6 separate regions of the Mus musculus genome follow, and regions 1, 2, 3, 4 and 6 are each reported to be linked to region 5. The links are microRNA targets in miRTarBase. Many come from high-throughput screens and were not tested one by one. Region 5 holds a microRNA gene; each other region holds the end of a gene's coding sequence.

Region 1 (5,408 bases), not on the chromosome of region 5:
AAGTATCAGATGAGAGAACAGAGTTATAATAGGGTGGAAAGTGTCAGCAACCTGGATCTCTGTTACAGTTTGCATGTAGAATTCCGCGTATGGGCTCATGTGTTTGAAATCTTGCTCTCCAGCTAGTTGTGCTGTTTCAGGGAGGTTACGGAAATTCTTGCAGTTGGAGGTTGACTGTAGGAGGTGAATCTCTGGGACTAGGCTTATAGCCCATGCATACTTTCTATCCTCTTTCTGCTTCTTGATCTATAGAGATGTGAGTCAAGCTCCTGACTTAATGGAGCCTCTCATCACCTTGTCTACTTTGCCATAATGGACTATATTCATTCCTCAAACTGTGAGCCAAAATAAGTCCTTTTTTCCCTAATGTGTCTTTCCAGGCATTTGGTTCCAGAAATGGGAAATGTAATGAATATTGTTCAGATTGTACTGTTTACTAACAATCTAGGTTTCCTTTTGTTTGAGGTTTTTTCCTACTCCTTTTTGAGACAATGCCTTACTATAGTTGCATAGCCTGGAACTCACTATGTAGACTAGCCTGACCTTAAACTTGCACTGTTCCTCCCGCCTCTGGCCACTACTGTCTCCCTTTTAAAATGCTTTGAACAACCTTTTGAGATATTTTTACCTTGATTTAGTAGTGTTGAGAAATTGACTTGGCCAGGGGAAAGCGATTACTTAATATACGGTTAGCGTGGTAAAGGTAGAATTCGAGCAGAATTCAATAACTCTTTGAGAGCCTGTGTTCTTCACTGTGTTCTACACTGTCTTCAGCCTAACTTCAGAACTTCAAGCAGCAGTATGTAGAGGCGTTTTAAAAGTTTTTTACCACAAAAACAAAACAAACAAACAAAAACAATATGTGAAATAATACATATGCTAGTTAACTGTATTTAACCAGTCCCATAGTGTGTACAAATCATGAAACTAGAAGACGTGCAATATGATGTTCATTTGTCAAACTAATTAATTTAAAAGGTGAATAACACGTACTTCTTCAAGGCGACTGTCTTACTTTAATACATTTAATAATGTATTTCTGCTGTTTTTCTGATTACCTTCAATATCATCATGTTTTTCCTGCAGGAGAGAAGCCTTACAAGTGCACCTGGGATGGCTGTTCCTGGAAATTTGCTCGCTCGGATGAGCTTACTCGCCATTTCCGTAAGCACACGGGCATCAAGCCATTCCGGTGCACAGACTGCAACCGCAGTTTTTCTCGATCTGACCACTTGTCCCTCCACCGCCGGCGTCATGACACCATGTGAATATCACAGGCCACAGCAGGCACGCTGCAATGGCCTCCTGAGTGTGTGCTGAAGTTGTAACTACGTTTGCCTCTTTGACTACAACTTGCCCCCATGATTGGGGTCCGAACAGCCTACTGAGCCAGGTTAATGAGACTGGAAAACAAGTTAGCTGGTCTCCCATGCGGCTCTTCATATTCCACTTTCACCTCTTCACTGTCCAGACTTCAGTTTTTGCAACCTCTTCCTGGGTTGAATTCAGTGCGGCGCCCATGGCTGCCCTCCCTGATCCCTCATGCTACATTATAGACATTTTTCCTACAATAACAAACAAAACAGGAATCAAACTCAAGGCTGTGAACAAACATCCGCTGCTCTCCCCTCCCCCCTGGTTTCTCTTGTTTTCTAAAGATTTTATTCACATGTGTGTATATATATATACACATATATGTGTATGTATATATATATATATATATATACTGTAACCAGTACTTAATATCACTTAGCAATGTCCTAAAATGAGGGTTTTTTTTCAAAGTTGTAGCTACAAGGGGCATAACAGTAGAGTTGGTTGATCAAATTTACATAGAATTGAGTCTGAAATACAGAGTCTCATGCTAACCGTGAAGGTTTTGTAGATCCAGTTTTACTTGTTCTTAACAGTTTGGTTTACAGGCAGTGCCAGCCCTCCTTTTGAAGTTCATCAAGAGCAATGAAGGGATTCCTTGACCTCCTTTTCCTCCTCATGCTCCTTTAGAATAAAAGGTTTTATGGCACAATTCCATTCTTTTTAGGTTAAGTTTGGACAAATATTCAAAGCACAGAAAGATAGATCAGTAGGGAGAAGTATTCTAGGAAAATACGTGGGCAGTGACAGGCAAGAGCAGACCTGGGAGCACCCTGTGAACAATTACTTGGATAAGGTGTTAGAACTGCTGTTAATCCCAAGCCTCGTTCAGAGGGCAGCCTGTTGAAACATCACTTTCGATGGGCTCCACTGTACTGTTGATTCTTTTGTTTACATAAGGCAACCATTCAGCGTATTACCTGATGAGAAATTGCACACTGAGCACGTTATAGAGAGGTGAGGGGTTGCACTAAAGGAATTTTGTTTACTTCATGCCATTTTGGGCATTTGTTCTTCTCTTTCTAATGGGATGGAAGAGGTTTTCTTTCTGACACTGACATATAGAAAGCATTTTTTTGGATGTTTTACAACTTCTATTAATACCCAAGCCATTTATTTTATTTAGATATAACAACAAGATGCTTAATATACATTTGGTTGCCCAATCAGACTGTTCATAATATTCTCTGGGGCATAAAACCTTCTGTTCCTGGCCCTGGACCTCATATCTACCTCTTCGTGGCATATTTCCTCTCCTGGGGAAAAAGGAGAGGGGCTTTGTATTAGTAGGATTGGACACAGCCTCTCGCCTAAAGGTTTTCTTCATATGAAACCTTTATTTCTTGGCAGATATTCAAAATGTTCTGGCTTGAACAATTTAGGTTACTACCTCCTGTGGCTGTACTTTCTAACTAAAGCCTAGAATTCTACCATCCAGAAGGGGTCCTGTCTACTTCTACCCATCCCTCACGTTTTACAGATGAGGCAAATACGGGTCAGATTCTTTCTCCAGATAATTCCTTGAGGCCTTACAGACCTGTATACACCGTCTCCCAGGGATCACACTAGTAAACCAAATTAAAGAAAAAGAAGTTATGTGATTGGTTGCAATATTTGTCCAATTTTATGTTACACTTCAGAAAACTTTAAATTCATGTATATTTGGTGACAAAGTAAGTAGGGTGTGCTTATGGTCATGACCACTTAACACCAGGCACACAGTGTTTCAAGTCACATTTTTTGATAATTCTAGATTTGTTTTAATTTACCTTGTTTCAAGTTTCAATGTCTTTGCAGAGCATAAATTCTCCATAAGTTAAGGCCTACTTGTACTTTTCAACGTGGCATGTAGGTTTTACTGTTACTGCTTTGGTAAGGGATCTGTCCTGACTCTGGGTGTACAAGTTCCAGGCTGTATACTAATTACTAAGCACTAATCAATATCTAGGGCTAGTCTACTAATGGGGACCACAATGTAAAACAGATTGAAAAATGTATATTCCTACCATATATGGGCTTAAGCTTATAATTGAGTAGTTGGTACAATACTATAGAACAGAGTCCAAAGGGTTATGTACTTCTGTTCCACTTTGGATCCTAAATTTGTTTTCCAGAGATTGGAATTGGCATGTGCCCCTTAGACTTCAGGATATTGAGACATATGTTTATTAATGAGCACTATGAAATTATAGTACTCATAAGGGTGATCAGCTGAGGATCCCAGATACTGATGTTCCTAGCATCTCTGAGCCTTTATTCAAGTATGTTTCTGCAGAGTCTTAATAGACTTTGCAAATGCTTTGTCCATTGTCTTTAGCCAAGAACCAATTCTAACCATATTCTCTTTGCTCTTTTTGTTCCCAAATGGCAAAAATCTTTCCAGTTACAAGCATAGTCTTTACAAATGTGTCATGATTAAGAGAACTTCGCAGAGTAAATGAACTCAAACAGTACAGTGCAGAATTACTGCACCAAAAGCACATACGTTTGCTACATAGTGGGATATAAAGGAAACCATTCCACTTCTCTTGGTTAACATCTGAGGTTTAACTAAGTGTAATGGGCTTACAACAGCCAAAGACTGTTAGGATGACATTTGCCTAGGATATGGAAATTGTGTCTGGATGGATAATATTCAGGAGTTTATTGTAGTGAAGTTTCTCCCTCTGTAGACATCTGGCAGCTGAACATAATTGTTGGTAATTGCCATTGTAAAGTGTAAGAAATGTAAACTGGTTTGATGGATTAGTGGAGTTCATTATGTACAAACCCACGAATGTTTGTAAAGAGAATTTCTTTTTAAATAAACTTTACATGTTGGAACTCTTTTTTTGAGATTTTCAGGAAAATGTGAAGGTAGAACAGAGTTCCTGCTGACTCTACATTATATATTTGTTTGGTATACTTGTTACAATTAGTGAAATTATACCGATACATTAATATTAACTACAATCAATGCTTTCGTCAGACTACCTTGGCTTTTATCTGCTGTTCTTTTTTTCTGTTTTAATACCGCCTTCAAAATACAACATTGTATTAATAATAACAGCTCCTTATTCTCCTCGTTGTGATAGCTTCTTGGAGTTCTTTGTTCTCAAGGACCTTGGAGTATGTTTTTCAGTTGGGGTGTATTTTATATTCTTCTCATGAAAATTTTCTCATTAAAAAAAAAAAAAACGAGGTCAATGAAAGCTAGGCATGGTGGCAAACACTTTCCTTTTAATCCCAGCACTTGGGAGGCAAAGGCAAGTGGATCTCTGGTCTACAGAGTGAGTTCCAGGACAGCCAGGGCTACACAGAGGAAAACCCTGTCTCAGAAAACTAAACTAAACTAAACTAAACTAAACTAAACTAAACCCTACCTTAATGAACCCAATGGATTTGGGTCCAAACAACCACACAAGTGAGTTACTATTTTCATAACATCATCTTTCTATGACTTATCATTCTTCATATTATCCTTAGTCACATGACTAAGATAGTGTCTGAGATTTCTCCCCTATACCCTTTTTCCTATCATCATACTGCAGTCTTTGGAGGGAACTTACTGTGCTCAGCCCACATATACAGAAATGGTGAGTTAGGTACTATGTCCTTGAGAGCAAGTGTTCAAATATTTTGGAATTTTTCTGCATTGGGAGCTTTGCCTCCTCTCTTATTTATTTACTTATATGTTTATTTTTGTCAACATGGACTCATTGATATTTATTTTATAGATTATCTTATAATTCAATGCAACTTTTATTTTGTTGCTCAAATTGTAACTTTAACTGTTAGGAGCTTTTTTTTGAATTGATCATGAAGTCTTGTTTGCATACCCCCATTATTGTTTTTTGTTTTCAGTAAGTGAGTAATTTTTGGTGTTGCAAGATGTTCCAGACACATCTTGCTTTTGTTTTATGGAGGACAATTCTATAATCAGGCATTTTGTCAATAAGTTGTAATCCCTTTTACTGAAGAATTATAACCAAGGTGTAGGTACTATATATGTTTGCTACTTTGCAGATATTTCTTCAAGTTCTCAGTCACTAGAA
Region 2 (5,366 bases), not on the chromosome of region 5:
TGAGCTAGCAAGGCCCTTGCAGGTCTTGGTAGAAACATTGTTTTTTATTAGCCTGCCACAGGGTGGGGTAGGCAGTCGGGTATTATTTCAGGCTATGTCTCTCTGCTCACTCTATGTTCTTATCAACATAGGCTGGGCTCCTTTGTGTCCCTGTGGGCCGTGGGAGGGACCAGGCTTACAGTGGTTCCTAAGAATGTCTGGCTGACCCAGTGATGACACCACAAAAACAATGTCCTGTTTCCTGAGAAATCTGTACTCCAGAGCAGCCCCTGTGTTCCCAGATTCTGAGGTGGGTGGGCCATGATGGATGCTAGCCCTGCTAGTTCTCCTAGCCCCTGGGCTTCTCAAGGCCTGGCTTTGCCAGGAAGGGTTAGTTGCAGAACCTGGCTTTGAGGTCACACTAGGTGGAAGTGGTGTTTGAGATGGCTGGGGGTCCTTTGTGGGACTTTTGTTGCTCTGAGGGCAGAAGGAGAGATGTGGTTAGAATGGGGGCTGGCTGCAAAGACAGGATGGTCTCTTGGACAACAGGAAGAAGACTGAGCAGGCAGACCTGAGCCTAGAGAACAACCAACAAGTCCAGGTTATTGGGACAACACACACACACACACACACACACACACACCATAGAAGTGATAGAGATGGTGGAGTGGGCTGTTTCCATGGCAATTTCAGAGAAGGATGCATATCTTGGAGATCTTTGGGAAGAGTTTTCTATGCATGGAGTCCAGTGGAGAAGAAGTTTGAAGTATCCCAAACCCATTTGGGAAATAAGGTATATTCTGAGGGTCCATGATCTAACTGTACCTCAGGGTGGCTAAGGGGCTTGAGTAGGTGAGAGACATGGACACCCAGGGTAGGCTATGGTACTCCAGACAGTCTTGGCCCAACAAGGCAGATGAATGGTATATGCACTAGTTTGCTTTCTGTTGCTGTGATAAACGCCATGACAAAAAACAGCTTGAGGAGGAAAAGCTTTATTTGGCTTACACTTCCAGGTCACCGTCCATCACTGAGGGCAGTCAGGGCAGAAACTCAAGCAGGAGTAAAGGCAGGAAGCAAGGAGGAAAGCCACCTACTGACTTGCCCCTGGGCTGATGCTTAGCTAGCTTTTTATATAGCTCAGGTCCATTTGCCTACGGGTGGTTCTGCTCACAGTGGAGTGAGCTCTCCCACATGTATTAGCAGTCAGGACAGTGCACACAGGCCAACCTGACCCAAACAGTTCCCTAGCTGAGACTCCCTCAGATAACTCTGGACTATGCCCTGTCAACAGCTGAAGCTAGCTAGGAGAGGAGTAGAAGGTCTGTGCCATGTCCCGGGTTGTCTCGAGCAGACACGGGCTTCTCTGAGCCTCAAAGACTCTGGGCTAGTGCCCAGTTGGGGAGACACCTGTAAGGCTGGCATGGGCTTTCCCCCATGAAGAAGTGGGTGTCCAGAGGCCAAAATTGGACTTGTGGACAGGCTACTTCCCTTCGTGCTCTCAGTTCCCCAAGCTGAGGAACTGAAGTTGGGAATCCTGTCCTGGAGGCAGACAGATAGCCACATCGGCTCCTAAGCTCCAGTGTGGAGGAGGGAAGGCCTTTGTGGGGGATACAAAGAACTCCTTTGGAAGAGGAAGACCAGCACTCCCAAGCTCCTAGCTTCCTGGGGTCCCTGCATGTAGATAGACTTGCCAGAGAATTTGAGATGAAGGCACCATACCACAGGATGCATCCCAACACAACCTGCGTGGGGTGGGGGCAGTGAGTTGCCAATTCCGGGATGCCAGGCAGGGTTCTTCTGTCCGTGTCCAGACTTAGGAGCAAGTTTAGTCATGACAGAGATCAAATGTCCCTCCATCTGTGGGCCTGGTCCAAGTCAGTATTACACCCACACAGATGTCAAAGGAGACCAGCATGTCACGAATGTGGATCTGGAGGGTTGATGATGTAATAAAATCCTCTTGGGACTTGCTGGACACAACAACACTGTGCGTATGTGTAATCAATTGACTATTCAGTGAGGAAGTAGAAAGGTAAGGGCTGAGTTAGGACTATGATACATGGATGATGGTAAGTCCTTTCAGGACTGGTGGGCTCCCAAGCCCTGGTTCTCGGCCACCTGTGACTGGATTGGGGGGTGGTCCCCTTCATTTCTGTGCTCCTGGCTAGGCAGGAGCTCAGGCACCTGTGGTGGCCTGCAACCAGGCTGCTTCCTCAGAGAACCCCTGCTAGGTGGGTAGGTCCTATCCCGAAAAGAGGATAAGGTAGGAACTGTCCTGGTGCTGAAGCCCTGGGCTCTCTCCTGCTAGGTAGAGGTGCTTTGGATATGGACAGCGACAGGAGGGGGCTTGCTGCCCATGCAGAGGACCTCACTTTGAAATTCAGACTCAGGAGCCACCAGTTTTTCTGAAACATTGGATGAGGTTTATATCCTCCAGTGGTCTCTCTCCTCAACACAGTTCCCTCTGGGCTTGGTTTCCTGAGATGATGAGTCCTCTAAAGCATAATCTGACCTTGAATTCTATTCTCTCTCTCTCTCTCTCTCTCTCTCTCTCTCTCTGTGTGTGTGTGTGTGTGTGTGTGTGTGTGTGTGTGTGGTGTGTGTGTGTGTGTGTGTGTGTGTGTGTGTGGTGTGTGTGTGTGTGTGTGTGTGTGTGCGCGCGCGCGCGTGTGCGCGTGCGCGTATTTGGAGTCACACACATGTATGTATGTATGTATGCATGCATGCATGCATGCATGTATGTATGTATGTATGTATGTATGTATGTGTACCACATGCATGCAGTGTCTGCAGAAGCCAAAAGACGGAGACAGATCCCCTGGAACTAGAGTTACAGATAAATCCCAGTCTGGGGCTACAATCCTGCCCCAGTCTCTCAAGTAGCTGGGATGACAGGCCTGTGCCAGCATTGCCTTCTGGCAGTGATGTGAGGTCAGGAGGATGCCTTCTGCCACTTAGGACTTCCAAGTTCAGCCGCTGAGAACTTCCAAGCCACTTATTTCCCCATACCTAACTGAATGTCCAGTTTCAGTGTCATTTATCCCTCACTAAAGGAAGGAGCATTGGGCACCGAGAAAAGTCACTGCACACTCTAGCTAGGAGGATGCTAGTGGTAGAAGAACAGTTGCCCCCCACCAGGACTAGCTTGTCTCATGCCTGCTCTGTCCCCTCACTGTAGCCATGTGGGGAGGGAGGGTGTCCATGGAAGCAGCTGTTATGAGGTGGTCCAGGAGCTCTGCCTAACACACACAACCCCAGGCCCTCCACAGAAGCATCACTCTCTGCTTGCCCCTTCCCAGAATCCTCCCAGGGGACACAGCACTGGGTCATCAGCAAAGATGTCCCTCAAGAGTCTTACTGATGGAGCTCTGATCCCAGCTTTACCTACATCAGGCAGCTCCCCTGGACCCCCATGGGCTGAAGCTGCAGTTGTGACCCACTGTGCTTAGACAGTCATGTCCACAAGTCCCCCTTGGGAAGCCTCTCTCCCAGCTCCCAGCTCAGCCTCATCTCCAAGTGCCCGCTGGAGCACCAGCCGGAGGGGTTCCCGAAACCTCTGGCCAGGTGTGCTGCCCAAGAAAAAGTAGATGGCAGGCTTGGCTGCACTGTGCACACTGGCCATGAAGAAGCTGAAATGATAGAAGTAGAGGGGGATGTGCCAGGACAGGTTCTTGGACAGCCAGAAGATGCCAAAGGGCAGGCCGCAGAAGAGGAAGAGCAGGACGGCCAGCAGGACCAGGGTGGGGAAGCCCCGAGGCTGGTGTCTCTCTGGACCACGCTCCACCCGCAGCAGCAGGAGCAGGCTGGTCACACACATGGTGCAGCACAGGGCAGCCAGGAGAACTGCCACCACCAGCCACAGCATGTCACACAGGTGGTAGCTGGGTGCTCCAAAGAACTGGGTGCAGGCGCCGCTCAGCAGCAGGTCCAGTAGCAGGCAGAGCACCCAGATGAGCGCACACACACAGGTGGTCAGGTAGCGTGGGCGGCGGCACAGGTACCAGGCAGGGAAGAGAGTGGCCAGGCACTGCTCCGTGCTGATGGCCGCCAGGAGGCTCAGGCCCACAATGTAGCAGAAGAACCGCAGCATGGTCAGGCTGATATGTACAAATTCAGGGAAGTTCAGCTGGTCCTGCAGCAGCTCAGGGATGATGGCCACCATGTGGCAGCAGAGGAAGATGAGGTCGGCGCAGGCCACATCCAAGAGATAGATGGAGAAGGGGTTCCTGTAGACATTTTGGTTGAGCAGCCAGAGGGCCACTCCATTGCCCAGCAGCCCGCCCAGGCTGAGGAGCTCTGTGAGGGACAGGATGGTCAGGTTGAAAGCCATTTCTCCCTGGGTGCTGGGAGAATCTGTGTGCACGCTCAGGGACGTCATGGCTGATGTCTGCAGAAGTCTGTGTTGCGTTTTCTCTCTCCGGACACCCCTGAAAAAATAATGACACCGGCTCAGGGGCCTGACCCTGCTCCTGTCCACTTCTGAGGTAGCCAGGTAGCCAGGGAGTAGTAGGTGACAGAAATGGTGACAGCCCCTGGAGGAGGTGCACACCTTTCATTCTGTCTCATCACCTTACCTAACCTGCCTCTCCAAGGTGTAAGATAGAAAGGTTTCTGTCAGTTGTTCAAAGAGCCCCGTTCCAGGAGCTCATACTGTGTGCTCTGTGCTTTCCCTAAAGGGTCTGGATGATCTGGAACATGGGAAGAGAAAGAGGAACTAAGACCTGTAGCTCCCTTTGTACGGAGGACATAGGAGCTGGAAGGATAACTCTAAAGGCCCCCTTGTGTTTGCCATCAGCATAAAACTCTCTCAACTCTTCTAGGCCTTTCTGGAACATTCCATGAGGGTGTGTTGCCAGGAGGCTCTGGACCCTCTAGCTGGACACCATACATCATAGGCAATGTAGGCCCAGCAATCTCTCTCTCCTTTGCTGTGGGTCCACAGCCAGACAGAACTCCAACCCTTTAGGGACTAGGGAGGCCTCTCATTTGTCCCTTTCCTTCCTTGAGGGGAAAGAGGCAGTTGTTTGAAGGTGATGCTGAGCAGAGTCCTCACCTCCTGCCTTCTTTGCCTGAGGAAGTGGCTCACTAATGCTAGAGGGTGGGGCTGGAGAGTCAGTACAAACCTGACTTAACATAGCTGGGCAGCGCCATTGAGGCAGCTAAACTCCATACATACCTCACTAGAGACCCAGACCTCAGAAGGGCACCCACATCCTACCAGCATGGTTCCCTGTCCCACACATCAGCTGGGGTCCCCTGTCTTATCCCAGCACCTGTGGCCATCTGTCCCCATCACTGTCTTCCACTTTTCTTTGTGCTTTGGAGAGATAGGACAGGGCCCCTTTCTCCCTCAGAGACTGGCTGGAGCCTTCTTCCTGCCTTGG
Region 3 (5,408 bases), not on the chromosome of region 5:
TGCTACAGCCAGGCCTTTGCACAGGGCATCTGCGCCTGAGGAGCAGCGAGGGAGCAGGAATGACAGGTGTCCCTTGTCAAGCACTGTGCTGCCCTCTCCCGTCTCACTGCCCTCTCCTGTTTTGCGTGCTCTTGGAGGGGCCGTGCTGTGTAAGTTCTGCTCCCTGCTTGAGATGCAAAATCTGTGAAGGGCTTGCTCTTCACTGTGGTTCAGTGGCCCTCTGCTGTGCCTGTGTCTGTCCAGGCTCGTGCTGGGCAGTTTCTACATCAGCACTGAATCACCTTCCTCTCCCCGCTGTGAGTGGCCTGGAGATGTGTAAGAGGGTGAAGCAGAGTCAGACTGGAAGGAGTTCTCTTTGTATTTATTAGCCATTTTTGTTTTCTTTTTTGAGAAACCTCGTTAGTTCCTTACCCCCCCCCCTTTTTTTTCTTTTTTTCTGAGACAGGGTTTCTCTGTGTAGCCCTGGCTGTCCTGGAACTCACTCTGTTTGTAGACCAGGCTGGCCTCGAACTCAGAAATCCACCTGCCTCTGCCTCCTGAGTGCTGTGATTAAAGGCGTGCGCCACCACACCCGGCACCTTAGCCCAGTTTTTAAAAATGGGTTTTTTTTTTTAACTTTCTGGTTTTTGATTTTTTTATTCTGGATTTTACTTCTCTATTCAATGTGTAGCTTGCCAGGGGATTGGGCAAAGATTCTGTCGGCTTCCTCTTCACTTGATTTCCTTAGCTGGTTGCCTTAGTTTCTTATGCAGGAAGTCCTTTCTCTGTACCTGTATCTGCAGGAGCCAGCCTATGTTTCTTCCAGCAGTTTCAGGTTTCACATTTTCTACTTGGTATTAGTTTTTGTGTAAGAAGATGGAGCCAAGATGATAGGCACTAAGTCTGGGCAGGTGGGCCAAAGCCTGGTGGGTGGGTGGAGGCTGTATGTCAGGAATGACCAAGCTGGGCTGGTTCAGTGGATGTGGGACTGGGGTAGATCTGGGGATTGGGCATGATGCATGTAGTAGGGGGCCAGGCAGATCCCCCTGGCTGACCCTAGTACAAGATGTGCAGGACCAGGCTAGGCAGAAGTTGGATGTGGGCTAATCCTTTAAAAAGTTACGGTCTAAGCCAGATACCTTTATAATGGTAGCTACCTTTAATCTCACCACATGGGAGGCAGAGGCAGGTAAATTTCTGATGTGAGGGCAGCTTGGTCTACATAGTAAGTGTTGGGACAGCTAGGGCTATACCAAACACACACACACACACACACACACACACACACACACACTGTGTATATACACATGGTGCACATTTGCCATAGCATGCATGAAGAGGTCAGCAGAAAACCTGTGGGAGCGAGCTCTCTCCTTTCACTGTATAGTCCCAAGAGATCAAACTCAGATCCACAGGCGTGGCAGTGAGCACCTTTTACCCACTGAGCTCCCTCACCCGCCCTGTGATTGACTAATTTTAAGGATGCCTGGTGAAGAGAGGCAGAACTGAGTAAGTTGGAGAGCCCATGCATGCGTGATACATGAGCAGCACTGGAAGGTAGGTGGTGATTTCCCTAGTTAACTTTATGTGGCTGTTTCTTGAATTTAAAAGATTTCCGTGCTGGAAATCAGCGGGGCCAAAATGCAGGCTGCTTTCGGACCAGTCCAGCCCTCTGCAGTTGAAGTCATCAGTGACCCACACTCACATCATCATTGTAGATAATTCCAAGGACAAGTGCTGCTTACCTCTGTATCTAGAAAGCTGTAAGTCCCCTCCCCGTCCAGCACCGCAGAGATGGAGAAGAGGCAGCCAGAAGCAGTACCCTCTACTGTGTGGACAATTTTCTCAAAAGCGTTTGAATGGTAGCCTTCATTCTCTAGCTTACTGGAGAAGAAAGCTTGGCTCTGTCTAGAAATGTACCTGCAGTTGCCTCAGTCTTCCTCTCTCCAGCCCACTTTCCAGAAGATGTTGACGTTCAGCAAGGACGATTCCATCGTGACTTGTTTTTACAGTAAGCTTTTATTACTCATTAAAAAACATAGAAAGACATTTAGAAAGAAAATATCCTGAAAAGAACACATACAGAGCAATAATACAACCATAGAAGGCACTACCAGCAGTTAGACTCCTCTGAGACGTCAGGAACTCCATGCTTTCCAGAGGCTCAACCCTCAGTACAGGTCCTGGGTCTAACTGTGCTTTAAAGTCTGAATCTTACCATCATTTTCTGAATAAACGCCTTTCTGTATATATAGCTATATGCCTCTATGTGTATATACATATATATATAATACATGAATTTTTTTTTCTTGTCAAAAATAAAAAGCCATCCATGGGGGGACGTTCTCAGCAGCATTCACAGTGTTTGCAGCAGGAGCCATGCCTTCTCCTAACGCTACAGACATGCAGGATGAAGGGAATGACTTTCCACGTGCCCCTGTAGTACACAGCAGGACGGGGGCTTCTTAAGGGAGAGAGGTGTAAGGCTGGGCATGAGACCTCAGGCAGCCAAGGGGCTGATGGCGTGCACAACCTCAGAGTCGCTAGCTCATGTTGCTTTTTGCAGCTCTGCAAACGATGCACAGTTTGAATGACAAGGATTTGGCGTTCTTCTGGGACGGGAGCAGTGTGGCTTCAGCCTGGGCTGGTAGGGAACTTTTTAGGCTACACGGAGAAGCTTGGGCTTAAAACAACCCGAGGAAAGGGTATGGAAAGGCAAGCACAACATGAAAGTGGTCTCCTCTGGAGGCTCAATTGAAACACTGGCCCTCTTTTAAAGGGACAAGTTTTTCTCCATCTGTATTGAGTGTCTTTGCAGTCCTGGCTACTCTGGCTGATTGGTTTTAAGTCTGAACTACTCAAGAGTTGGAGTCATAATCTGATGCTGTCAATGCAGTCTAGTAACCTCGCATCTTCAAAGTCAAAGCCTGACCGGGAAGCTTGATGGGAAAGAGGCTGATCATCAATCACCCTGTGCTCTGAGGCTGTGTCCTTGGCTCTATAGCACCATTGTCCACTTCCTGCCAGGGGCAAGCCAGCAGAGAGCTTCAAGCAAAGTGCCCCACTCTTTTCTCTGCAAACAAAAAGGCACTGAAGTCACCAGGGAAGTCAGGCCCACGGGTCTGCTCAGTGCTGTGCTGCGAGCAGACCATGCTTCCCACCAGAAAGGACTCCAAGTTGGAGGACTTTACCACTGTAATCAAAGCTACTACTCAGGCAACAGCTGGAGACCCTAAAGCCAGAGGTGGAGGTGGAACTGAAGGCCAAGGAGATTCAGGCCCCCCACCCCCTGCAGGCGTAGGCCACAGACAGCTTGGATGTGCTTCTCTGTAATACTTTCTGGCAGCTCAGCAAGAAACTAAAATTGATAAGTGGCTGGTTTCTCTTTGGTAGAAACCCATAAGGAGGACAGCATTAAATTCAAATGTTAACATATCAAACATTGGACAGAGACATGCTGAAATACCACACAGATGTGCATATATGTCTTTGGGTTTGCATGCACACAGCCTGCTGGGTAATAAGAGACGGCCTGGTCAGGCTGTAGCCTCTTGAAATCTCAGGCTGACCCTGAGTGTCTAGTACTAGAGAAGAAGAGGCACCTTGGGGCAAGGACAGTCCTTTCATGAGCATTTTCCTGCTTTCAAGGACTTAGCTAGAATGAATATGCCACATTTGATCCTTAAATATACTATACGTGGCCAAAAAAAACCAACCAAACAAACCAAAAGAGGAACTGAAGAGTAAATCCAGAGAAAGAACACACAGGCTCTGAAACCTTTCTTTCCTTTTGCCGGCTGGTGATTGATTGGAGTTTGGTGACCAGAGAGGCAACTATTTGGTTTCTGAGAGGCCAGCAGACTGAGCAGGGAAACACTGGTCATTCCACAGGAGTTCTGATCCCAGGCGGAAGCTCTCCAGAGCCATGGTGTGGTGGGTTAGCAGGAATCGAACCCTGCATAGACACTGCGTGGAAGAGACTTTGTGCCACATCTGTTAACTGCTGGGCAGGCACTGGTGGAACCACCAGAGGTGTCTTAACAGTAACTCTTTGTTGCAAAATAATTAACAATAAAATAAATTGGAGGGCACTGAGAGGACAGGAAGTCGGCTGGTTACCCCGGCTTCCCTTGGGACTCTCGTAATGCCTCTTCCAGTTTCTGACGGAATTTGTTGTACTTCTTTTGCAGTTGATGGATCTTGTCCTGCTCCTCTTTTTCCAGGATAGTTAAAAAGTTCTGGAGTTCAGGAATGGAAAAGGCATCCCACTATGAGAGGAGGAGGAGAAAACAAGTGAAAATGGTTAGAAGTTGACATGTCTCAGGGCTCTGCTGTTGCTCCACAGTGAGCCAGCCAAGTACACTTTTCAGCTGAAGGGGCGGGTATCACGAATGACATTTGTGTACCGTACACAATGGTCACATCAGCCACAAATGGTCATGTCCCGGAATCTCCTGGAGTTCCCAGCCTATACACCTGTGCTTATAGAAGAGCAGCTGCAACTGAGGATACACCTGTGCTTATAGAAGAGCAGCAGCAGCTGAGGATACACCTATGCTTATAGAAGAGCAGCTGCAGCTGAGGATACACCTGTGCTTATAGAAGAGCAGCCGCAGCTGAGGATACACCTGTGCTTATAGAAGAGCAGCAGCAGCTGAGGATACACCTGTGCTTATAGAAGAGCAGCCGCAGCTGAGGATACACCTGTGCTTATAGAAGAGCAGCTGCAGCTGAGGATACACCTGTGCTTATAGAAGAGCAGCAGCAGCTGAGGATACACCTGTGCTTATAGAAGAGCAGCCGCAGCTGAGGATACACCTGTGCTTATAGAAGAGCAGCCGCAGCTGAGGATACACCTGTGCTTATAGAAGAGCAGCAGCAGCTGAGGATACACCTGTGCTTATAGAAGAGCAGCCGCAGCTGAGGATACACCTGTGCTTATAGAAGAGCAGCCGCAGCTGAGGATACACCTGTGCTTATAGAAGAGCAGCCGCAGCTGAGGATACACCTGTGCTTATAGAAGAGCAGCAGCAGCTGAGGATACACCTGTGCTTATAGAAGAGCAGCCGCAGCTGAGGATACACCTGTGTTTATAGAAGAGCAGCTGCAGCTGAGGTCTTCACTTTGGGGCTGGACGTGCTCCCCAGAGGCAGGTGGAGGACACCTCTCATGAGCTGTGTGACGTCAGGTTTCAAGCTCCACCCTGCTGCCCACCTTCTCATGAACCAGTATACCGAGCATACTCTGCACACCTCTCAGTTGGCTCTAGCTGGTCAGGCTGAAGCCTCCGCTGGGAGAAAGGACTGAGACTCCAAGCTCCTTGAGCACAAGGGAGGATTTCACGGTGGGCCTGGTCTAATCCCCACACTAGATAATAAGAACCTATGGTCCACAGAGAGAGAGAGAGTGGGGGAAGCAGTTCTGGAGCT
Region 4 (5,408 bases), not on the chromosome of region 5:
TCTTTGTTCCATTACCCTGTGGCTGAACTATTGACAGTCACCTACCCCTGATTCATTTTCATGCTTAATGCTTTCGCAATCTAAGAACACGGTAGATATGCATATTCAGATAATTCAAGGCCAGTGGCATTCCAAAAGGCCAGGACTCTTTAAGGATGAAGGTTTACTTAAAGCTATCTTATAAAGTTATTTGAAAGCTGGATGCCAGAGCTCACTCACTGTAAATATGTTTTCAAACAGTTGATTCTATACATCCCTCAGCATCATCTACTCAACTCATGAACTATAACACTCCCAATAATCTCATTGTAATATTCAACTTCTTTTCATGGAACATAGAATGCATGTGTGTGACCAAGGCATCCGTATTCCTATTCCTATCCCTTATCTCTTATCCCTTACCCCTTATTCATAAGTATGCAACTATTTAGAATTCACAAAAAGTTTATTCTACATTTTCACAAATGTAAATCAGTCTTTGGAGTTGGAGATGCATTGCTGGGAGCTATATTGGTGATGCTGTTAATTTCCTCAGCTCAGTACAATCCCTGCCATTCCAACATAGGACTGTTAAAGAACCACTTGGCAAAAGCTTCATCCTCCTAGCATACTTTCCACAGACAGCTGGTTTTATACTGAAAAGTGCAAATGAGACCCAGACTCTTCCCAAGAAAAGACATATAGTTTGGACACCTCTAGCTCAGCATTTATTATGTGGTTCCAGATTGATCCCCAATACTATTCAATTGCATTCCATTAATGCCATGAGTTAAGAGTATACAGATAGTACACACACACACACACACACACACACACACACACACACACATTTTCTGTCCTATCCCAAACTGCCACAGTCCTATAAACCCTTCTTTTCCTACTTATATAAGTTGGCAACATTTGTCACTATCTCCTGATCTTCCTTGGGGCAGCTGAACCTCTGTGATTGGTTTCCTTGTGTCTCCATCAGGGGCCTATCAATGAGCAGAATTTTGAAGCATATGTAAATACTCTCACAGACATGTACAGCAATCTGGAACAGGACTATTCCCCAGAATGCAAAGCTCTACTGGAAAGCATCAAGCAGGCGGTGAAGGGCATCCATGTGTAGAACGACAGTATGCAGGAAACAGAGGTCACTACGGCCATGAACTCCCACAAATCTGCAGGGGCCTAATACCCCTGGAGCCCAGAGGCTGTCCCTGTGTTTATAATTGCAACATTGCACTAATTTTTCCCCAGCTGACATAAAAAGGAAAGAAAAACTATGATAAACTCTTTGGATTAAAAGCAATGCAGTCAATTATTAAACTCGTTTATTTTCATATCTTTTTCTTTTCTTTCTTCATTGCACTCTTTATTTTGTAAAGTATATGTAAAAATAAATGTGACATTTTATATTTTATTTATTACTAATCAAAGAGTTTTTTATCTTTTAACTGCATTTTGAAGTCTACTATATTTTTACAGGTGTGTTTATTAATTTATCTTCTAATAGGATTTAAATAGAAATGCTGTTCTCAAATCACATATCTTTCTGGATTTAAATGAGAAAAACAAAACAAAAGAAATGTATGAAGGAAATCCTGATGTCAGGACTACACTGTGGTCAAGCTTGGTTTCTACTGTGCACTTCCATTTCTCCTTTACTGGTTTTGTTTTTATAAATGGCTTTTGGTAATGTGAGCTGTGAAGGATTATGAAGATAAATGGCGCCCACTAGTGGGAAATCCACACTCACAAAAGCACAGGATGTTAGCAAACAGCGCACTCAGAACTTGATAGCAATAATTAAATAAAATAGTCAGCATAGTATTCCACATGGCTGCAGAGATTTAATTAATATGAATTATTTATTTAGACTGCTTAAAGCATACATTTTAAGTGAATCAGATTTGTCTTCTTGTTTTTCAAGTCATATTGGCTAGTTGGCAACCCTTTCCCAAAATGAGAAATAAGCTTTGATGGGACCAGCTTGGCTTTTCCTGCTACACGTTAGTACAATATACAAGTGACAATGTTGGTGTAGATTTGTACTTACAACTACAGACACATCCAAATGGAAATTGTGTAGATACCGTATCCCCTGAAATAGCATTTATCTTACTGGGTTGACTGGAATAGAATGCAAAACAGAAGGCCTGAAAAAAAAAATGCTATTCCAAGCTAAGTGGTTACCTTGAATATTGGCAGCATTGGTCTTTGCTTCCCTAATAAATAAGGCAGTTTCAATTTGATAAAACTCTTGAACTTCAAGTGACACAAAGGATGTTACACACACACACATACATGTACACACATGCACATACACACACATACAGACACATGCACACACACACACACACACACAACAGCACAGTCTACACACATATATGCACTCACACTCATCCACACGTGAAATTCAACCTGCAATCTCAACTGGATCAGAGTTTAGAAGTTGCTGTAGTAAAGGCAATGTCTATTTCAGGGACTGTAAAGTAGTTAAGCATTGTTTCAAAAGTTTTTTTATATTTATTTTTTTTAAGGAAAAGGTATAGACAACCAGCTAAACTGCCTTTTTGGTGTGCACACACATTTCATGTGCAGATGTGCCTCTATGTAAAAGTACACATGAACTTTAGTGTGGGCTTAATTTTCTGTGCTATAATAAAAGTGTTTATTTTTTATTAGCCTCATGAATATTTAGATTTAGTGTGATGGCATTCACAGGCTTGAATTCACTGTTACTACTGTTACATGCTCTGATACATGAGAAGTGGTATAGTCACTCCACTCTCGTGGAACCGTGGATATTGTTATGCATCACGTGGCGCTTATCTTTGGCTTGGGGTTCATTTGAACTCTTGAATCTTAGTTTAGTGAAAATGAGATGTCTGTTCTTAGGTAGGAAAGGTGTTTATTTAAAGCTCAATTTTAAAATAAGCAGCTACTGCGAGTAGTGTCTACTATAAATGGGACACAAAGTTTCCTATTAAAGTATGTCTTTGAACATTTTGCTACACAATACTTCAAAGAAGCACACAAATGGGCTCACTTATTACAAAGACAGAAGTTTACTTTGCTAAATATTTTAACAAGTTTGTTATATATTTTATTTAAAGAGATCTCCTGCAATCCTATGTATTTATTACTATAATTTACATGGCTTCAGTTAATTTATTTGTGTTCATATAGTTTTATGAAGTGTATCTGTATTTATTTGCCTCCTCGTACTTGTGTTTTATAACATGCACTGAATTATTTTCTTTTCAACTATGTTAATGATTGATACTGTAAATTGGGTATTTTGTAAACAAAAACAAAGGCAGTGATGTATGCGTTTTTATTTGAAGTAGTTTGTTTGTATACTGTTTCTCCAAATGATTAATATTTCTTACATCATTGCAACAAAATTGTGTTCAGTGCTGTGCATTTGGTGTATGGTAGGAAATAAAAATTGATAATGAATTTGGCCATGATATTTACTTTATCAAGACAGATGTCACCAACCCCATGACCCACAGCTCCTGATATGGTAGAAAACCTCTAACACAGAACAATTCCTTCTGAACACTTTTACCCTTGGTTGAGAGGATTCTTGGTTGGTTAACATCTTGATTGGTTAACACCTTGGTGTAGAACATATCTCCAAAATGGGGTTTGCCTTTGCCTTTGCTAGAACTAGAAAGAATTTTGCCCAGATCTAATGAATAGCACACAAGGAGTCCTTTCCTGATACCAAACTGCTGGAGGTCCTGAATATAGCTTACATTTATGCAAGGTAGGTTCAAAAAATGTGATAATTCTAGGCTACCTGCTTTTGTTTTCCTAAGTCATCAGTATTCTCTACTTTTGAGTTTCTAGCCAGACTTACACATCTCTTAAATATGATTGTTCCTCATAGGCAATGTAAAATTTACTCAAATTAACTAAAGAGAAGTCTGGATCAAAGCGGGAGCTGGGCTTAAATTAGGTTTGCTTTCAGGGAGCACCACGTACTTTCAGTCACTAAGCTTACACGAAATGCTCATATGTGTTCTGGGAAAGCGATGCGAGCTGCTCAGCCAGTATCTTAGTGTCTACTTAATTTAGTATGTTTTACATCCTACCTTGGTTTTTGCTGTCTATGAGAAAGTTGTATCTACAGTTCATGATACAAATTTGTCATAGAATTGTATCAATTCTACTGGGACTTAGCAAGATCTGCCCTTTCCCATCACATATTTCTAATCAGAACAAACTTCCTGAGGTCTTGAATTCAGTGAGGACATGAGGCAAATGACAGGTATTATGACATGTAAATATACAATTTCTCCTGTAGAAACAGCAAGAAGGTTTGCTATCCACCTTGTATTTCCTGGAAAAGTGTGAGTTCCAGATTGGTCGAGACACTGGTAAACGACATGGCAGGCAGAGGAACCGCAAGTATGGAGTGTGAAGGGAAAATACCCATGAATAACAAAGAAAGTACAAAAGGAATCCAGATGACTGGAGATAGAAAGCTCAGGAAAGTGGGTTGAAGATTCAGTGTAAAACTCCATACCTCGTGGTTCAAATTCTCAGTAGCAGCCTTTGCTTTGCAAAGAAAGACTGAATTTCAAGGTTAGGTGTAGTTTGATAGTGGAGTTGCTACAGCATATTTCTAAAGCCTCATCTTCCATGCCTGCCACCTTCCTTGAAGAGATTTAACAATCAGAGGGTGGAGTTGATTTGTTTAGCAATTCAAATATTTCTTGCAGTAAAGCAATACAACTATATTCAGTGTATTTCAATTGTAATAGGATGTGAAATTGATAAGAACTTTTTCTGTCATCATTTTCTGTCTATTACCATTCCATCAAAAAGTAAAATAAAATAAAATCTTGAGGTATTTAGAACTCCGGCATGCTTCATCTGGATCCAAAGTCCTGTATGAAAAGAGCAGGACAGATGAATTGAGAAATTGCCTTGTTCTAGCACATAAGGATTTCACTACTAATGTTTTGGATGTGTCTTTCCACACATTCCACCCACTTCATTGTGGCCTGCAAGTAGTGCCTTCTGTTTCCTTCAGCTATCCAGCAGGTGACATACAGTAAGCAGATTGAACTTGCTAATAACTGTCCACACTGTCATTCGCAGTCAGAGATGCTTTGTATACTGAGAAAACCCTTGGGCTTGAGGAGCCATGTTACCATATGCAATGAAAATGGTGAGATGGCTGGTTCGCAGGTAACAGTAGTGCCCAAAACAATAAAACTGGACAAAAATGCACCCTAGATTCAACCCCATTTGCTTGCAAAGCTAATCAAGCAGCTTCCCTGTGTTTGAAGAAAAATCTACTAAAATCCATGGATTTCACCATACACACATTGGTCTACACTACCAGAAATAAGAAAGCCTATTATACACGTTTGACCATCACCACTTTGACCAACAGAATCTTCTTA
Region 5 (5,408 bases):
TTACAAATACCATTTTACATAAACTATGCTATTGGCTTAGTTTATATATTTAAGTGATCACAAATGTGCTGCTTCACTTAATGCCTGATACTGGTCCCTTTGGTCACCTTCTCATGTGGGTGGGCAGAAAGGTAAGACAGGGTCTCAGGGAGTAGCCTAGTAAGGATGGCCTTGAACTCATGTTTTTCCTGCTTCAGACTCTCAGCTGCTGAGATGACAGGTGCACATTCTCACAGCTGGCTCTTTGTCCTTGAATCCCATTTCTCCTTAAGAGCAAAGATTGCCTAAGGCCTCTTTGTGCAGAGGCAATTTTTTTTTTTTTTTGCCTCTTTGTGCAGAGGCAAAAGTTCTAATTTGCATCATCCTAAGCTGAAGTGTTGTAAAACAAAATTTCATTCCTTAGTACAATTTCAATTCTTAATACTTTCATGAGTTGCCAAAAAAAATTGGAAGGAAGGAAGGAAGGAAGGGAGGGAGGGAGGGAGGGAGGGAGGGGGGGAGAGAAAAGAGAAGAGGGAAGGGGAGGAGTGGAGAGGAAAAGAGTAGAAAGGAGAAGAGGAGAGAGGAGGAGAGGTGAGAGGAGGGGAGGGAAAAGGAGAGGTGGGGAGAAGAGGAAAGAAGAGAGGAAGGGAGTTGGGATGAGATGGGAAGAGGGGGTGGAGGGAGGAGGAGAGGATGGGAGGAGAGGGGAAGAGAGGGAAGGGGAGAAGAGGAAAGAAGAGAGTGGAGGGGAGGTAAGGGAAGGGAAGGAGAGAAACAGAAAGGTTAGCATAGTCTAGATCCCTTCTGTGGGATGTTTAATTTTTCTTTCTAGGAAACTGATGAGCCTGAGAAGCATTTAAAAACACATCTTCTGTGGCTCTAGCCCTGTGGCAGAATGCTTGTCATCTGCTGTGGCTCTAGCCCTGTGGCAGAATGTTTGTCTATCATGCACGAGGTCCTATGATCAATGCCCAGCAGAGGAAAACACAAAGTATGAAAACAGAAAATAACCAACACAAATGAAACAAAGGGAGAGGCTTGGGACACAAAAGCACAAAAGATTCTTTGTTTTTGAAGGGGACCATCACTGTCCACAGTGTAGCTAGCAATGTAAGCCACAGGCATCATTTTAGATTTGCTACTAGCTGTAGTAGATAGAAAAAAAGTACATTCGGTATATCCAAACTATTATCATTTTGATACGTGATCAACTAAAACAAGATTTTCCATTTATTCCCATGCTAAAGTTTTGGAAATCCAACATGTATTTTACATGGGCAGCAAATCTCAGTTCACACTAGACATGTTTCATTCAACCAAAGACCTATGGTTAGTAGCCACAAAGATGCATATTATGGCTCTGGAGCTGGGGGAACTACGGACACACAGGGACTATGGCAAGGACTGAAGGGTACAAGACTGGATGCTTGCCAAGAGGGGCCACCAACCGGGAATGCAGCAACTTTTTAACAGGTGCAGGGGCTCCAAGAAGGGGAGCTGGAACTTATTCTGCAGACTAGCCCAGCCTTGAACTCAGAGATTCGCATGTCTCTGCCTCCTACATGCTAGGATTAAAGGTGTGTGCCATCGCACTGGAAAAAATGCTACAAATTTAAATCTCTACTTAGAGGGGTTTGTCTGCACAGCAGAATAATCTTGTCAGGATAACAATGCAAAGGCCAATGCTAGTGTAGCTGCACAAGTGAATCAGGGGCAATAGTGGATTTAACAATACAAGCTTGATGATATAACGAGATTTTAAAGAAGAAGAGTTACTAACATTCATATTTTACAAACAAGGAACTTAAAACTGGTGGATTAAGCAATAAGGCCAAATTATAGAATTGTGCCTTTCATTCCAGAGAAACTTAAAAATAACTTTTCTCTAGTTCCCCAAAGTGGTAACTGCTGCAGGTCTCTGAAAGAGAACTATATGAATTCTTTCAAGAAAGACTTAGCCATTCCTTTTGCAATAGTAATAGAAGAGACAAGTTGCAAGAACAATTGAGGTCTCCACAAGTTCATGCACAATCACTCTAGAAAATCTGTAAAGTAGAACTGAGACCATGAACCAGGGGCCTCCACCCATAGCCATAAGAATTCATAAACCAGGGCTCTCTATCATGTCCATCAGAGATTATGAACCAGGGATCTAATTTACATCCATCATGGATAATGTACCAAAGTCCCCATACACATCTACCAGTGATCACTAAATAAAGTCTTTCCCTCCAGATATTTACTTCCTAGTCTTAATTCCAGTTTTGTTGGGTATACAGAGACTATATATCCTATGAATTTCTCTTTCCTTTCCTATAACATGTAATAGGAGAAATAATACCTACTTTACAAGACTGGAGATATAAAATTCTTTTTTTTTATTATTAGATATCTTCTTTATTTACATTTCAAATGCTATCCCGAAAGTTCCCTATACCCTCCCCCTGCCCTGCTCCCCTACCCACCCACTCCCACTTCTTGGCCCTGGCGTTCCCCTGTACTGGGGCATATAGAGTTTGCAAGACCTAGGGGCCTCTCTTTCCACTGATGGCCGACTAGGCCATCTTCTGCTACATATGCAGCTAGAGACATGAGCTCCGGGGGGGTACTGGTTAGTTCATATTGTTGTTCCACCTATAGGGTTGCAGACCCCTTCAGCTCCTTGGGTACTTTCTTTAGCTCCTACACTGGGGGCCCTATGTTCCATCCTATATGTTCAGGAAACATTACCAGACAGTAGGACCAAAGAAATGGACTTTTGAAGACATATCATGTTATTAATCTGTAAATAATTAATAATCTCTCTAGAATCATGTCATTCAGTTTTGATTGAGTACACATTAGATCATAGAGATCCTCTTACCTGAGGGAATGATAAATGGGTTCAAGGTATTGTTTCCCTTTTTACAAATGTAGCCAAGCTTCTGAACACATTCCAGATTTTCCCACTTGGCATTTTTTCCAGGGTTTAGTGACACACAGCTCTTTCCAGGCTCTGATGATGGACTTCCTTTAAGCAAATTACAAAGTTAAATTGGGAATACCACAGTCTCCTAAGTGGATGGCTTCCATCCTCTGCCAACCACCACACCTTACGTCGTCATCCTTGGGATTTAATGGATCCCCATCCTGTCTTTTGCTACACATTCACAAATTATTATTTACTGAGTGCAGAGCAAAAGGCATGGTGGGTATCTATTTGGTTACTTGTTGCTGGCTTATTCCAAGGCTTAAAATGTTGAGTTCACAGCAGAGTGGTTTGAAATAACCACCTAGAACAATGGATAGCATTAGACCTTAAACTTTAAACAACTGTGATGATATATGATATCATGTATCTATATATGGTATCATATATAGAATGGCTGAATAAAAATAATGTACACTGTCCCAAGATGGCTATATTAATGTCAATAGTAACGCTCAAAACTACTTGAAGCTAACTGAAGAGAAGAAAATGCAAGGGATAAACACAGTGAAACAGATCTGGAAACCAATGTCCTACACTCCCAGAACTAAGATTCTTAGCACATTTTGTTGGATTCATTGAAGAAAAACCTTTGGAGCTATCTCCTCATTCATTTCTTACAGGAAGCTGGTTAAAAATACCTGACTGGGTTGACACCTTTGGATATATGACCCTATCACTACAGTCTATCAATACATCCTCCTACTACAGTGGATACATACATCTATCACTATATCCTCCAATGTATGATTTGTCTACTGCAATGCATACATGCATCCATCTACATCCTCTAATGTATCATTTGTCTACTATAATGGATACATGAATCCATCCCTATATCCTCTGATGTGTCATTTATTTACTGCTATAGATACATGTGTCCATCCCTACATTCTCAGATGAGTCATTTGTCTACTACAAGGGTAACCAATCCCTACAGTCTCTGATTTATCATTTCAACCCCAGTTTCCCAGAAAGTAACTTCATCTCATACCTAAGTCTGACAAATTAGCTACACACACAGCTAATTTGTGACCTTTGGTGGATGTTCATTATGCACCAAAATTTCACTTTCCTCAGAAAAAGGAAATCATGTCACCAGCCCTTGGAAGTCTTTAACACAAACATTTTCCAGGTTGTATAAATACTACACAAAGTAAAAACCCCCAAAATACATATAAAGATGTTTTTTTTTAATCTTCTGATAATATGGCCAAGATTCTGTATCATTGTGGAAAAAAACTTTCAAGAAACAATATCACATTTAATACATACTGGTCTTAAATACTGTGCTCTTTGGTAAATCATATTATATATTCATTTATCAATACAACACCTCTACCGACCTTGAGATAGCAGTTGGAGGTCTTTACTAATCTGGTGACTATTATATAGTTGAATTTATATTTCTTCATCATTCACATAAAGTATTCTTGATTGCACTCCATATGTGTTTTAGAACATGAATCACTTAGTAAACGTTTAATGAAACAATCAACTAAGTAATTTATACAAAAATAGTTTAAATATTCTTATTTTAATTTCATAAAATTCTCACATTATTTAAGAAGGTTAGTGTTGAATCTATTTTCTGGAAACATGTAAGGCATTTTCCATTCCTATTACACCTTTTCTAAAGTTAATACCCAGGGTTTTTTTCAGTGAGATCTAAGACCACAAGGGGTTGTACCCAAGTGAATAATAGAGAAAATGAACTATTTTATGACGTGGAGTACTTTTAACTACTAAAGACAAGAATGGACTGTAGTCCCCTACCATATAATCACCACTGTCTGAAGCTTCTGAGTCCCGCTGCAATTCTCTAACCTCCCTTGAGCCCAAGAGCAGCAGACAATATCATCTTATGAAGAAAGGGCATCTATATTCATATGCACTTTCAGTTACTTCCCATATTTCAGAAGAAAATAAAACAGATTATCATTTCAAGACTCAAGTCATGGGGCTGGAGATAGCTCCGAAGTAGATTAACCGGTCATGATTTCTAGTACAAAACAATTCACATAACAGCCCTATGCTCATCAGGCAGTGAGCGAACATGTTGAGTGGAATTTCATGGTGAAATATAATCAGTACCAACATATATTTTTTTGCAACACTGTTCACTGGGCCCAAAATTTTGTGCATGCCAAATGAGTGCTCTTTCCCTGAGATTTCTGAAGCCTAATTAACTTAAATAAACACATAACCCTAAATGTTGAGTCTCTAAAATTCTCTCCCTTGTTTAAACACTTTTTAAAATACTATTTTATCTTTTTCATCTTAAAAGTAAAAGTCAAGGTATGAAACAGAAAACTTAACATATTTAAGCCAAATGCTTTTTTTTAAGGTATTTAATGGCTCAAAAAGGAAGGGGGGGAGGGAGGGAGGGAGGGAGGGAGGGAGGGAGGGAGGGAGGGAGGGAGGGAGGAAAAGAATTGTGAAAAAAAAGGCATGGCTT
Region 6 (5,327 bases), not on the chromosome of region 5:
TCAATAAGTTGGGTGGAGGGGGCAGGGCGAGGAGGCTGCAAACAAATACGTCTAACTATATGGTTATTTATGAGGAAACGAGAGAGAGAGAGAGAGAGAGAGAGAGAGAGAGAGAGAGAGAGAGAGAGAGAGAGAGAGAGAGAGAAAGAGAGAAGGAAGAGAATCCTATCCTGAGAGGGGGTGGGCAGGAGAGTGGCTAAAGAATGAAAACTAAAGACATAAACAAAAGCATTCAGGACACAAAAGATAACGTAGAACAGTCTGATTTTATTACTCTTAAGTAATAGAGCCATATCCCTTGATTTTTCCGCTCTTCCCCCTTTCTTTTTCATCCTCTCTCTCCTTTTCTTTTAAACTACATACATTAAACTGTGAATCAGATGTTAGGATGTGTGGAGACGGAAGGAAAATTGGTGACATCACAATATTTTTACAACTTTACAACCAATGTAAGTCTGCGTTTGTTGCATCGACACTGTCTAGCCAGGGTGGAAAGCGAAGGCACGCTCAGGTTCATGGGCAATCTCCTCCCTACCCCCGAATGCAAGGTCAGGGCAGAAAGGGAGAGGGACAGGGAAAAGCAGAAGACCAGCTCAATACATGTGGGACACCGAAAGGAGCGGGGTGTGGGGTGTAGGAATGTGGGTTTTGACATGGGTCTCCGTAACACAACTGAGGCAATGATGCCCATTAACATGGGCATGAGGTTGGGGTAATACTCTTGGGAGTCAAAAGGGAGGAGAGGGTATGGGGTGGCTGACAGGCACCTTCCTTTTCATTTTTGTATTTGTGAAGAAAAGGAAATAGAGAAGACACCATCTGTTTCTAGAAAAGCCTTTCTGGCTTCAGGGTGCAATGGTTACAGACCATGAACAATGACTCCTCTAAAGAGCAAAACAAAACCAGTGATATCTTATGTATCTCAAACAACAGTCTAGCTGGTCCGAGGCAAGTCTTGGAACAAAGGGCTATACACCTGTTCTCGGCTGTACACCGTGGGCTCTGCAGGACTGCTCGGACGGCGGGTGCAACATAGAAATTTTAAATAACCAATTCGAATTTGTTCTTGCCAATCTTTTTTTTTCTGAAAGTTTTATTATTATTATTATTGTTGTTTTATTTTAAAGACAAAACAAAACCTAGATCAAACTGGAAAAAGAAAAGAGACCAAGAGACCACCAAATAAACTGTTTATATGGAAACAGTGCTCACGGATTACAGTGTGCAGACAATTCTTTTGTTCATGATAGAGTAAACAAAGGTGCCTTCTGTGTGCTTTAGCAAATGAAAACCAAGGGAGGGGAAAAACAAAAAAAGCAAAAAACAAAACCACACACTACCCCTCCCAACCCTCTACAAACAACAAACAGATAAAAGAATTAAAAAAAAAAAAACAGAAACAAATAAACAAAAAAATACTTTTGCCCCAGAAATGGATTTTTCAGCATCCATTGTCGTTAGTTTGTACTTTGGGGTACCCATTAATCACAGCAGGGACCAGCCTGCCTGGTCTATTTTCTGGTTGATTCTCTGTGTATCGCCTGGGTGTGCTGAAGGCACAGCTCGGAGACGCCTCCCAGTTGCCTCCCTAACCACCGCAGCAAGATTCTCCAGTCAGTGAACACAGTCCTTTCTCGGCTGGCTCAGGAAGATGTCACCAAATTGAAATGATCTGGGAATATAAGGGAAAGGGGTTTTTTCCACCCACAACACTGGAGGTCCATGCTCTGCAGCATGGCCAAAGGGTGGCTGGCGTTGGCACAAGGGAAGGCAGGGAGAACTGAAGGGTATCACCCAGCCTTCAGCATTACAACCATCGCTACCGTGTCTGTTCCATTTGCTTGTCTCCAGTCTTCCAGAGGGCTGAATGGAGGGCAGGGTTTAAATAAATATCTGCCTTTATTTCAAGTAGGAAAAGAAAGTTGATCATAACGACAGTTTACAAGTGTATACAACTCAGAGTGTAAGGCACAAATTTACATGTGGAAAACAGGCTATTCACAGATGTAACCTCATGAAACACCCGTGTGATCAAATCATTAATTTATGCAAGGTAGCAGCCAGCATATTAATTAGTTCACACAGTTTGTGGATCTTTGTTTTGCTGTCTCACATGCAAGGTGAAATGAGATGGTGGGGGTCGGGGATCGGGGGTAGGGGGTAGGGGCAGGTTTCACAAGCTAATGCCTTCCTGATGGTGGGGTCCTCAGACAAAGCCATGTTTACGGCAATGGGGCTTAGGCACCATTCTAAACATTTCTGTCCTGGCTGGAAGTTAGACTCTGGAAGGATTTTTAAACATTTTTTTTTCCTCTTGGCGAGAAACCCAACTGACAAATTAACTAGATTTAAATAAATATTCCTTCCTAGCACTGTCCTTTAGCTACTGATCCGATAGTCCAAACACAAAGCTCAGAATTCCAGCTCCAAATTATTTACTCAGTGAATTTATTGTAAAAATAAAGAAACTCAATTATTCCAGTTAATGGATTTCACGTTAAATAGTTTAACTTTCCACGGGCTTCCGCAGAGCTGTTCATGTGGTGGCATTTGGAAGAGTCTTTTCCTTGAGGAAAAAGAAAAGGGGTGGACAATAAATAAGAGTTACTTGCGTTAACGGTCACGTTATTCATTAAAAGCGAAGAGGAGCAGAAATCTATGACATCGTTGCCCAACATGGCATTTACCTGCTATAACAAAGCTGTAACACTGGTGGGCATTTCACAGTATCTGCGCATAGTAAACTTCTGCCATTGTTAAAGTCTGAGTTAGAATTATCAATGAATCCTTTATTATTTTTTTTTAATTTTCATGATTTTTTTTAAAAAAAAAATGGTTGTGTGTGTGTGTGTGTTTTAAAGTTTCTGATGCTTAGCCAAGTTTGGTAACGTCCTGTATAGTCAGGGACAAAATGTGGTTGTCGTTTACCATTGCGTGTGTGGTGTGGTGTGATGTGGTGTGGTGTGGTGTGGTGTGGTGTGGTGTGGTGTGGTATGGTGTGTGTGTGTGTGTGTGTGTGTGTGTATGTGTATGTAGTGCACGAATGTGACTGTGGCCTGTGTTCATGTGAGGATGGGGTGGAGATGTGCTTTTGGCTCATGTTTGTGATGATACTGAAGTCTTTCGTGAGTCCGACCTGCTGTATGACGTGGATGTGAAGGAAGAGAACGCAGAGGTGGATTGCTAAACCTTCACCAGACCACACGGCCCAATTTTGAAGAGTATCCCTATGTCCCAGGGAGGAGGACCCAGCGTCCTCAGCTCCTCCAGGGCCATCTTGGTCGGGTGGATACTCGAGGCAATGGAGACCTTGCTCAGCTGGGTGGGTGCCTCGCCTCATCGGATGCTTCAACTCCTGGCCCCCCAACCCCTGGGATTATGTACATGCATCATTGGGCTTCATGGATGTGGAAAGGGGAGCAAAGGAAGGTTTGGGGGGTACATCTGGCTTTAGCGAGGGGGTGCGCTTCAGCCCCGACCTCGTCAGTGAGTTGTAGGCATTGAGGCTGGGCTGCCTCGAAACAGTCACGGCCTGGCCAGAGGGCTGGGAGCTGTGCACCTGGATAGAGTCCACCCGCTGCGGGGCGGGGGGTGGGTTGTCTCCCCGGCCAAAGCTCTGGTTCCTGGAGAGGTGGGAGGAATTGGAGGAGTTAGTATTGTTTCTTTTGAGAGTGGTGGTCTGGTGGCTTCTTGTGAGCGAGTTCGTGGGGTAGCTCCTCTTATATTCGAGCCCATAGGAGGAGGAGTGTTGCATCTCCAGCCTCTTGCTCAGGCCGGTCTGTGACAGTGAGGTTCCCGGGGGACCTAGGGAGGCCTCGCGCTGTGGAACTTTAGGGGGCAGGCTGTCCAGGTTCTCCACAAGGTTCACCCCATGGTTGGGACTCTTGCTACTCAGGTGCTCTTTGATGGTCTTATACTCCAGGGTGGCAGCCTGGTCCTCCAGTGCCATCTGAGCCACCACCTCGCTCATTTTGGGCTGATCTACGTACTCGTGCTGGTAGCCCTGCTGCGTGATGGGCAGGACCACCACGCTGGGGATGTGGCTTGGGGAGGCCCGGAGGGGCAGGTCCGTGGGAATCACAGGGGAACCCATGGGAGGCATGTCCTTGGTGCAGGCATTGATGATGTTCTGGTTCCTCTCCCACTCGCGACTGCCGCGGTTGGGTTTCCGTTTCTGCTGCAGTGTCGGGGTGGACTCTGGGGTGGGCAGGGCGGTGAGGTCTAGGTGATGCTGGTCAGCCTTGATGAGCATCTTGGCGGTGTTGCTAGGCGTGGCCAGCTTGCCGTTGTGCATGAGTGGTGTGAGGATGGCCTCAGGCTTTGGGTCCTTGGACTGGGTGTCCCCAAAGAGGCCACTGAGCTTGGTGACACTGCTCATAGATCCCCGACGCGAGTGAGTGAGCTCTTTCTCCTTGCGCTGCACTACTGCCACGTCTTTGCGCCGGTGATCGCACACACAATACACGATGATGCCCGAGAAGACGGCCCCCATGACAAAAGCCAGAATGACTGCAATGGCCAGGAGGGTGACAGGAACAAGCTGGTCGTTGCTTTTGAGGTAACTTTCCCGAATCACTCCTGGAATAGAGATCGCACATGGCATTAAGAAACGAACCACACACTGGGTGTGTGTGTGGGGGGTGTTCTGGTGTTTGGCAATCACACTGTTAATTAATAACAGTAATAAGTGATGATAGCACCTCTGCATAGCTCATCTTCAGGGCACAGCTTGCCAAACATTAACTAATTAATCCTCCCTGCCCCCACCCCACCCCAGCCAGCCCTGGGATGTGTATGTAAATCGATTTTATTTGTTGCCTTCTTTTGTGGCTGTCCTCTCTGGTACATATTTTTTCAACTTCTTTCTAAGGACGATGGCTGGCAGGGTCAAATTTTATTTATCTGTCTTTTCCTTTTGATCTTTCCCACCTTCTATAGAATTAGAATAAATGAGCTATTTGGAGGAAGTGGCAACAATTTTATGCATGTTAATCGAACAAATCACACAACAATCCAGGGCTTTCCACTCAGTCTTTTCTTGATGACTGCCTTCTGACAAGGAGACCTCTGTCTGGAGAAAGGCATGTTTGCTTTTGAATCTACACGAGGATAGAGGGGGTTTATGTCACCACAATGAAAAATAGCCGAAGCTCACAGGTTACAGCATTTACATTTATTTTGCATGGAAAAAGGAAAACCCACACTCAATTTCAGGTAAATATGCATCAGAAGTGAGAGAATATTTAAATCAGGGCCCCGTTATGGGCTTGTAACATGTCAGGTCCCATTATTACTCTCAGGGCTTGCTGTCACCATGAAAGTCCTCA

The links. The annotated mature microRNA mmu-miR-511-3p reads AAUGUGUAGCAAAAGACAGGAU and lies in region 5 at 3,109-3,130, opposite strand. An mRNA with a match to its seed (bases 2 to 7 or 8) in the 3' UTR can be bound and repressed. Matches are read on the target gene's strand: a 7mer-m8 pairs with bases 2 to 8, a 7mer-A1 pairs with bases 2 to 7 and ends in A, and an 8mer does both.
Region 1: the mRNA of Klf8 is a reported target of mmu-miR-511-3p. Seed matches in the 3' UTR shown: 8mer at 1,687-1,694.
Region 2: miRTarBase lists Mrgpre as a target of mmu-miR-511-3p. Seed matches in the 3' UTR shown: 8mer at 2,745-2,752 and 8mer at 1,975-1,982.
Region 3: the mRNA of Rassf5 is a reported target of mmu-miR-511-3p. Seed matches in the 3' UTR shown: 8mer at 2,246-2,253.
Region 4: miRTarBase lists St18 as a target of mmu-miR-511-3p. Seed matches in the 3' UTR shown: 7mer-A1 at 2,282-2,288, 7mer-A1 at 2,312-2,318, 7mer-A1 at 2,365-2,371 and 7mer-m8 at 2,606-2,612.
Region 6: the mRNA of Sema6a is a reported target of mmu-miR-511-3p. Seed matches in the 3' UTR shown: 8mer at 3,024-3,031.

Annotation. Positions count from the first base shown.
Region 1 is chrX:153,391,601-153,397,008 of GRCm38, forward strand. It overlaps Klf8 (Kruppel-like factor 8), which reads left to right. Exons shown (of 8, transcript NM_001357183.1): 8 at 1,087-5,408. The coding sequence ends at 1,268. Among named protein-coding and RNA genes, the nearest start is that of Klf8, 35 kb to the left of the region's middle.
Region 2 is chr7:143,777,405-143,782,770 of GRCm38, forward strand. Mrgpre (MAS-related GPR, member E) reads right to left here. Exons shown (of 2, transcript NM_175534.3): 2 at 959-4,409. The coding sequence starts at 4,360. The coding sequence ends at 3,428. Among named protein-coding and RNA genes, the nearest start is that of Mrgpre, 4.4 kb to the right of the region's middle.
Region 3 is chr1:131,174,431-131,179,838 of GRCm38, forward strand. It overlaps Rassf5 (Ras association (RalGDS/AF-6) domain family member 5), which reads right to left. Exons shown (of 6, transcript NM_018750.4): 6 at 1,980-4,247. The coding sequence ends at 4,095. It also overlaps a transcript of Eif2d not described here. Among named protein-coding and RNA genes, the nearest start is that of Eif2d, 24 kb to the left of the region's middle.
Region 4 is chr1:6,857,490-6,862,897 of GRCm38, forward strand. St18 (suppression of tumorigenicity 18) reads left to right here. Exons shown (of 22, transcript NM_173868.2): 22 at 971-3,451. The coding sequence ends at 1,111. Among named protein-coding and RNA genes, the nearest start is that of St18, 130 kb to the left of the region's middle.
Region 5 is chr2:14,258,773-14,264,180 of GRCm38, reverse strand. It overlaps Mir511 (microRNA 511), which reads right to left and starts at 3,178; the gene lies at 3,100-3,178. It overlaps Mrc1 (mannose receptor, C type 1), which reads right to left. Exons shown (of 30, transcript NM_008625.2): 6 at 2,846-2,992.
Region 6 is chr18:47,245,007-47,250,333 of GRCm38, forward strand. It overlaps Sema6a (sema domain, transmembrane domain (TM), and cytoplasmic domain, (semaphorin) 6A), which reads right to left. Exons shown (of 19, transcript NM_018744.2): 19 at 248-4,578. The coding sequence ends at 3,377. Among named protein-coding and RNA genes, the nearest start is that of Sema6a, 120 kb to the right of the region's middle.